2 linked regions of the Lonchura striata genome follow. The protein of the gene in region 1 interacts with the protein of each later gene in a biochemical or structural test. Links are inferred from orthologs where the notes say so. Each region holds a gene or a part of one and is shown on either strand. Other genes may lie near its edges.

The links. The genes of interacting proteins can lie anywhere in the genome.
Region 2: the proteins of TNKS (region 1) and AXIN1 form a complex in vitro, tested with the Homo sapiens proteins (2 studies listed by BioGRID). The link is inferred for Lonchura striata from reciprocal best matches to the Homo sapiens genes TNKS and AXIN1.

What each region holds. Positions count from the first base shown.
Region 1 is NC_134606.1:43,898,995-43,902,737, reverse strand, and holds the start of TNKS (poly [ADP-ribose] polymerase tankyrase-1), read right to left. Parts: upstream 2,426-3,743; 5' UTR 2,417-2,425; coding exon 1,927-2,416; intron 1-1,926.
Region 2 is NC_134618.1:4,334,933-4,338,675, forward strand, and holds the start of AXIN1 (axin-1), read right to left. Parts: upstream 2,438-3,743; 5' UTR 2,371-2,437; intron 388-2,370; 5' UTR 294-387; coding exon 1-293. UniProt on the Homo sapiens protein: Component of the beta-catenin destruction complex required for regulating CTNNB1 levels through phosphorylation and ubiquitination, and modulating Wnt-signaling.

The DNA.
Region 1 (3,743 bases):
AAACAAGTTTTATTTTACCTTTGGCCCACAAAAGAGATCAAATCAACACACTGCATCACTGGCAGGTATACACTGCTTAAGATCAATTGCATTCAAACAACATGCTTGCTTACAGACCTTTCCAAAATGATGATCTCAAGATCTATGTAATAAGAAACGTGCCTAATGCTCTTACATGTCTAATCCACTGGCACCAGACAAGCAGCCATTTGAGATAAAGTAGGTATGGTATCTAAGGGAAGTCTTTAAATCTAGAAAAATGGATATGGGAATTTGTTAGATACAGTAACTTCATTTGCTATTTTCCTCATGCTACAACAAATCACCTTCCACTGCTATTACAGTAACATCTTAATAATACTATCAACTTTCAAAACCTTACCCCCTCAATTAAGTTTTGTCCATTTCTTCTCTAATCAGAGCAGACATTACCCGCTGCAGCTTCAGCACTACAGTTTGTACAGACACTGAAGTTACAACCTGAGATCTCAGAGTTTTAGGGGAAACAGCAAGATCTAACTTTAAGTTTGAATCCAAAAGTAGCAGAGCAGACTCAAGCTTTCCAAAACATTAAGAACTTCATAAGCACACATGCAGTTGGTACCAGAAGTAAGTTCAAGGTTCATCAAAATTAAGTCCATCTCCATACCCCAGAAATTTGCTGCGTTTTAAACTCCACTTGCTTAAGCCCCGTCTCAGCAGTAGAGCTCAGAGATCAAAGAAAGAAAAGGAAACAGCCCAGGACCAAAAGTTCCCTTAGGGGCATTGTCAAATACCTCTTGTACTTTGAAAATGAAAACAAACCCATACAGTCTCAGTGTGTGTTATCTAACTTATAAATTGTACAGCACTATTCAGAGTGCCAGGCAACACTGTGCCATAAAATGTTCATTTTGCTACTGATTTAAACATGACTTAGAGCTACATGCCAGCACTCAAACACTTATCACTCGATACAGACTTGTTAATTATCTTAATTTATGTGTACCAGTGCACCACAAAGCTCAAGCTAGATCTGTGCACTTCACTATGTAAGGTGCAGTTCTGTGACACCCTGGCACACCTCAGAGAGCTCTCAGACTGACCACAGATCTAGCAATTGTACAAGCCCTGACTTAGGAGTAATGATTTAAAAGACTGTCTTCATTTTACTTTTATAATGAATTTTGTGTGCCTCCAGTGAAGAATACACCCTGTAAGAAATATTTTTTTATGAACTGCAGTAATCTGTTACAGTTCCATTTGCCAAAAGGTAATATTTACTTCCAGTTAGTCTACACTGTTGGACCTTACTGCTAAACTGTTTTTATAACATTAGTTCTGATCACAATGACATCTCTTTTCTGCACAAATAAGTATATTTTTTCTTGGACACTAATCTAACTTATACCGTTCAGCTGTTCCACTTGATCCCTTTCCCCAGCCTACTCAGACCACAAGAGATGCAGACATCAACCAGCAACCATGCTGAAATGAGAGAAGTTACAAAGTACAAGGCATCAAGACTGAAGTACTTGTGCATCACAGGACTCTCTGAGCTGTTAGAACGCAGATGAAACCCATACTTCAAGTCAACTCTGTCCTGAATTTCAGTTTCCTGCTTCCTAAGTCCACTGCACAACTTTGCAGCAGCCCATGGATATCAAACACCGAGATCACTGTCCATACTCTTAGGTCTTAGAGTCTCTTTACGCTCCCAGGATCTCCTCTCCCACTGGTTTCACCCAAAGGAAGGGGATTTAACAACCAGCTCCCGACAGCCTGTAGCGAAACGCCGCTGGGGAAGAGCGTGTGCTCACACTCTTCCAGCTTAGGCTTGCCCACTCCCGAGTCACCGAGGCGCTGCCCGAAGCTATTCCAGGAGAGCCCTGCCTGTCCCGCTCGCTGTCACTGCCCCGGCCGGGCACGGGAGGCTCCGGTACCCACCGGCGGCGAAGTGGAGCGGCGTGGACTTGCGCCCCGCCATGTCCTTGGCGTTCACGTTGCCCGTGTCCACCAGGCGCTTCACGCGCGTCACGTCCCCATTCCTGCAGGCCTCCAGCAGCTCGCGGAACGCCCCGCTCGCCGCGCCCGGCCCCGCCGCTTCGGGACTCTCCGCCGCCGGGCTCGACGCCGCCGACGACGACGCGGACGAGGACGAGGAAGACGAGGAAGAGCCGCTGGAGCTGCTGCCCGAGCCCGGCGGCGGGACAGGCGCGGCGGCGCCCGACCCCTCCGCACACTCCGCGGCCGGGGGCCGGTCCGCGTCGGGGGGCGCCTCGCCCTCGGGGCCGGCCAGGCTGGGGCGCTGCGCGGCCGGTGCCAGGCTGGGGCTGCGCGGCGGCGAGGCGGCGGTGGGCGGCGGTGCGGCCGGGCCGGGCGGCGGGTGGTGGTGGTGATGGTGGTGCTGGGAGCGACGCGGCGGCACCGCCGCCATCTTCGCGCCGCTCCGCCCCTCCCGGCCCCGTCACTGCGGCAACGGCGCCGCCCCGCCCGCGCTTCCGCCCGTCCGCCAACCCCGAGCGCCGCGCACGGACGTGACGCCCGCGCGGGGCCCGCGGGGCGCGGCCGCACCGCCCCGGCACCGCCCCGGCACCGCCCCGGCACCGCCCCGGCGCCGCCCCGGCGCCGCCCCGGCGCCGCCCCGGCACCGCCCCGGCGCCGCCCCGGCACCGCCCCGGCACCGCCCCGGCACCGCCCCGGCACCGCCCCGGCACCGCCCCGCGCGGGGCGCGCCTGCCCCCTGCCGGCCGCGCGGGAGGGACGGGCGGAGCCCGGGGCGGGGCCGAGTCCGGGTGGGGCCGGCGCTGCCCGGGAGCCGCTGGGCCGGGAGAGGGGCGGGACGGCAACTCGTCAGGCGTGGCCTCGGAGGGGCGGGCGAGGGACGGCGTTCACCCGCGGAGCCCGCTGTAGGGGCGAGGCGCCCTTCTTCCGCCTGCACGGCGCGATCCGGCTGCGACACCGGAGTCTGAACAGCTGCTTCTGCACAGCCGCCGCTCGTGTCAAAACTACAGAAGGGCTTTGCAAGCTAATTGCAACACCCCATGGTCAGATCCAGGCTTTGTGAAGTACTTAAGAAGCATCGGTATGAACTTGTTCAGCTCACCGCCGGCTTTCCACAATTCATGTTTCACCATCCAGGTGCTTTTGTGGCATCAGTGATGTTATGTATAGTAAATATAATTCGCGCCATTCCTTGTATGAAATATGTAATATTGGATGCTTGTTAAATCATGCCCGTTGTATTAGTTCCTCCCCCCCTTCTCCAAATAAAAGAAAGGACTGATTGCTAAAACCTTGGCCTCAGGCAGAATTTTCCCTATAAAAACCGCCTATGCCAGGATGGAGGTGTGTGGGCATAGGAGAAAACCTCTGCTGAGGCTGACTCCTTGTTGCACACCCAGGGTCGATCCCGGGCTCGGCTCTGTCCTTTCCGTGTGGCTGACTAGATAGAATCTGACCGCAAATAAAATTATTTTTATTTTTAATCTGGCTGAATAAATTCTCATTTATAACAAGTGACAAACAAATCACATTCCTTTACTGGTCACGCCAGAGGTGGGTGGGTTACCCGGCCCCCATGGGTAGCCAGCGCTCACCTCCCTTCCCCTGCAGGCGATCCAGCCGGCAGCGTGGCTTCGTAGAATCACAGAATCGTGAATGTTAAGAGCTTGGAATGGACCTTAAAGATCATCTAGTCCCAACATCCCCTGCCATAGGCAGGGAACACCTCCCTCTAGACCAGGCCATTCAAGGCTTTATCC
Region 2 (3,743 bases), on another chromosome or scaffold:
CCATCTTGGTCATCCAGCAAGGAGTGCAGTGATTCAGCCCACTTCAGGTAGGGTGGAGTTGGCGAAGCACTCCCCTCGGGCTCGTACCCCAAATCCAAATCGGAGCGCCTCGGTGTTGCCGTGGACGTCTCATTTCTGACCACATCACTTTTACCAGAGTAGAAACCATGGCTAACTGGCCTTGGGTCTGTGGACACGAGCTCCCCCTCCTCACCAGGAACCGGTGGCCTTGGAGCATCTTCAGTGAAGCTTCCTCCGAGGTCCAAGGGGAAGCCTTTCCCCTGGATATTCATTTTTCTGGTCCTTGCTTGCGTGGGAACAGTGGGAGATGAGCGCTAACCTCAAGTCACCAATATCTGTAGCTCCAAGGTAAACAGGTTTGTTTGGCTGAAACAAATAAGGAAAAAATAAGCGAGTATCACTGGAAATAAACGCTCTAAGACAACAAACTAGAGGTTATGCTCTGCACCTTTAATGTACTAACACCTCTTTTTCAACAGGATCAATGGCTTGGTAACTTCTGAGAGCACAGAACTGAGCTCAAATCAGACAGAGGCTAACAAGCACATTTACAGAACATCCCAAAATTTTATATCCAGAATTCAGCATCACTGATACAACTGATGCTATGCTAAAACACCAGCAGATTTCCCAACAACGGTGGTTTATACATGACCCTGGTATGTGGCAGCCCACATCCAAAAGATCCATACTCAGGTACTACAGGACACATGCCACCTTCTGCACTGCCACCAGCTCTTCTGCACTGCCTACCTGGACAGGACGTATACCAGATCACACTAAGGCAACATGTTTTTATCTGGCTATGGATCTAGGAAATTCTTACCCTTAAACAGGAATTTAAGGCTTGTGAAAATTATTATTAAAAAACATCCAGTTAGTCCTGAAAGCAGGGCTGCACCTTAATCAAACACAGGTGGCTTTCGTAGCTCAAGTGACATACCAGCGCCACATTCCTCACAAATCTCTGCGTTTCAGAAATAAGCCGCGTCGCCTCGTCTAGCTCTAGGGGAATCCAGATGCATCGTTGACCCTAATATTTTGGGCATCTGGACTGCATTCTTGCTTCAGATGGGCATGTTAGTACAGGAGCTCAGTTCTAGCACTGCTTTTTGTAGGCAAGCCGTTGAGAAAAGGTTCATTTACGCTAAGAGAATTGCATGCTACGAGCCTGGGAAAATTTCAGGTCACCAAAGGAAGATGAGAAAACCACCTTGACAAGGAAACCTGATCAAGTACGGTGTTTTTAAAGAAGAGCAATGAGTCAATATGGAGGATGGAAGGCATGGGGAAGGCAGGGAAGGAAGAAAAGGGCAATCCCTGGGTTGCTACTTCTGCTGCTCAACAAATTAACCTCATCGTTTAAAGCAAGTAGCAAAAGCCCTGTGTTAACAGAACAGCCTCAGCCTCTAAGCCCCAAGTACTGCAGAGCACCAGCAGCCTCATAAATTACTCCTTGCACTGGGTTAACTCAATTGCACGTAAAAACACAGCAAGAAAGACACATTTTAGCTCGCCCTCCCTCTCAAAACAAACCCCACAACAACGAACATCTTTGGGACGCTTTACCATTGACCCCCCATTTCCTGATCCTGGCTAAACCAAGAACCGCCGCCGATGCCGTGCCTGTCCTTACAGCCCACCTGTGCATCGTGAAACAACCCAGCGAGCCCAGGAGCGGCCAGCGAGGGTGGCGGGGCCCCGCGAGGAGCGCGGCAGGAGCCAGCGCCGCGCTCACGCCCGGCCCGAGCCCCCGGCACGCAGCCCCTGTCCCGGCACCGCGGGACGAGGCTGGGCTTTGGCACCACGGGGCGGTTCTGGGTGGTTTTCACCCCGCTCCTGGAAAGCGAGAGCGGGACTCGCCCCCCGTGTGCGGTGCAGGTCCTCGGTGACCCCCGGCCGGGTGAAGGGGACGCCCGGGGCAGCGGCACCGCAGCCCCAAAGCCACGCCGGGCATTGTTGCGGCGGGGCGGCGCTGGCTCCTCGCCCCGGCCGGGGCAGCCCCAGGAAGCTCCCGGAGGACACGCGAGGCGCCCGGCCGAGCCGCCCGGCCGGCTCCGGAGGGGACCCGCGGCGGGCGCGGGGCCGGGTGGGCTCCGGGGCGGCCCCGCCGCTGACAGGGCACCGCGCGGGGCCCCCGCCGCCCCCCGGGCAACTTCGCGGGACCCGGCCCGCGCCGCCCCCCCGCCGCCGCCCCCGGCCCCGCTCCCCTCCCGGCCCGCCCGGCCTCCCCCCGCGCCCGGGGCGGCCTAGCCCGGCTCGGCGGCCCCGGCGCGGCCCCGCGCTCCCGCCCGCGGCGGCCTCGGCGCGGCCTCGGCGCAGGGCCTGGGCCGGGGCCGCCTCACTCACCCGCGCGGAGCGGCGGCGGCGGCCCGGGGCGGCGCGGGGCCCGGCCCATGCGGCTCAGCGGCGGCGGCGGCCCGGAGGGGCAGCGGCGGCACAAAGCGGGCGGCCCGGGACGCCCATGGCCGCGGCCGCAGGCGGCTGGCGGCGGCGGGGAGCGAGAGCAGCAGCAGCAGCAGCAGCAGCGAGCCGAGCCCCGCTCCGCTCCGCTCCGCCTGCGCCGCTGCCTCCCAGCCCGGCACGGCGGCTCAGCCGCGCCCCCCGCGCCCCCGCCCGGTACTGCGGGACCGGGACGGAGCGGGGCGGAGCGGGCCCGGCCCGGCCCGGCCCGGGGAGGCGGCGCGGCCGCACGCGGGCCCGGCGCGGCCGCAGGCCCCGCACCCGCTGCGGGGCCGGCCCGGGAAGCGCGGGGGTGCCGGCTGGGGGAGGCACCGAGCCCCGGGAGCCGCAGCACGCTGCCGAGCGCACGGGCTGAGCTCCCCGGACAGCTCCGGCACATGGCCGAGGCTTCGGGCTCGGCTTCCCGCAGAGCCCCGGCTGGGCAGGCGCCTCAGGGGCTGAGAGGCTCCAGGGCTTCGTCCGGCCCTGGATGAGGGCAGCCCGTGAGCATCCCGGGCAGAGACGGCCCAGAGAAACTTGGGAGACCTCCGGGGTCTCGTGGAAGGGCTCTGCCCAGGGAAGGCATCAACCCTCAAACACCACCAGGCTCCACGGTGCTGTCCGCGTTGAACACCATGACACACCCGAGTTTTGTCACTTTTGGACCACGCACCGTGGGCCTGGGGATGTAGGGGCACCGGTGCACCAGCTGCTCTTGCCTCCAACAACAACTAGAGCTGCTTTGGAACCTGCAGTGTGTGTCCTGCTTCTCTGAGCTGGGCAACTGCCGCTGGGGGAAAGCAGGGGCTGGCCAAGAGGTGGCACTGCATGGACTGGAAGGGTCACACCGCCTGGAGACTCCCAAGGCGATGCTGGGTTCTGTGCAGCAGGGTGCACCAGCTCTGAGGCTGCAGTGATGGGGACACTGAAGGGAGAAGAAGTGAATTGCCAGATGCAGAGATCAAATGAGAGTAGCGTGACAGGGAAGTGCAAAAGCGTGTCTTCCCTGGAAAGCAGTGATAGACTCCGAGCCAGGCTGAACATACAAACAAGACACTAGACAGTCCTCTGAAAATCAGAAATAACAAAATAGTTTCCAATAGGGACTGTTTCTCCTTTCTTATGTGATGATGCTGCCACAGTTGACTGCCTCAGTGCATTTAGAGAAAACTTTTGGAAATGTAACATTTCTTTTTCCAGTTTTATGAAGTTCCCAAATATCCACTCTGGCAGTGACACTCCCCATCCCACCCCAGCACAGAGTCTGGCAGGATGATGTG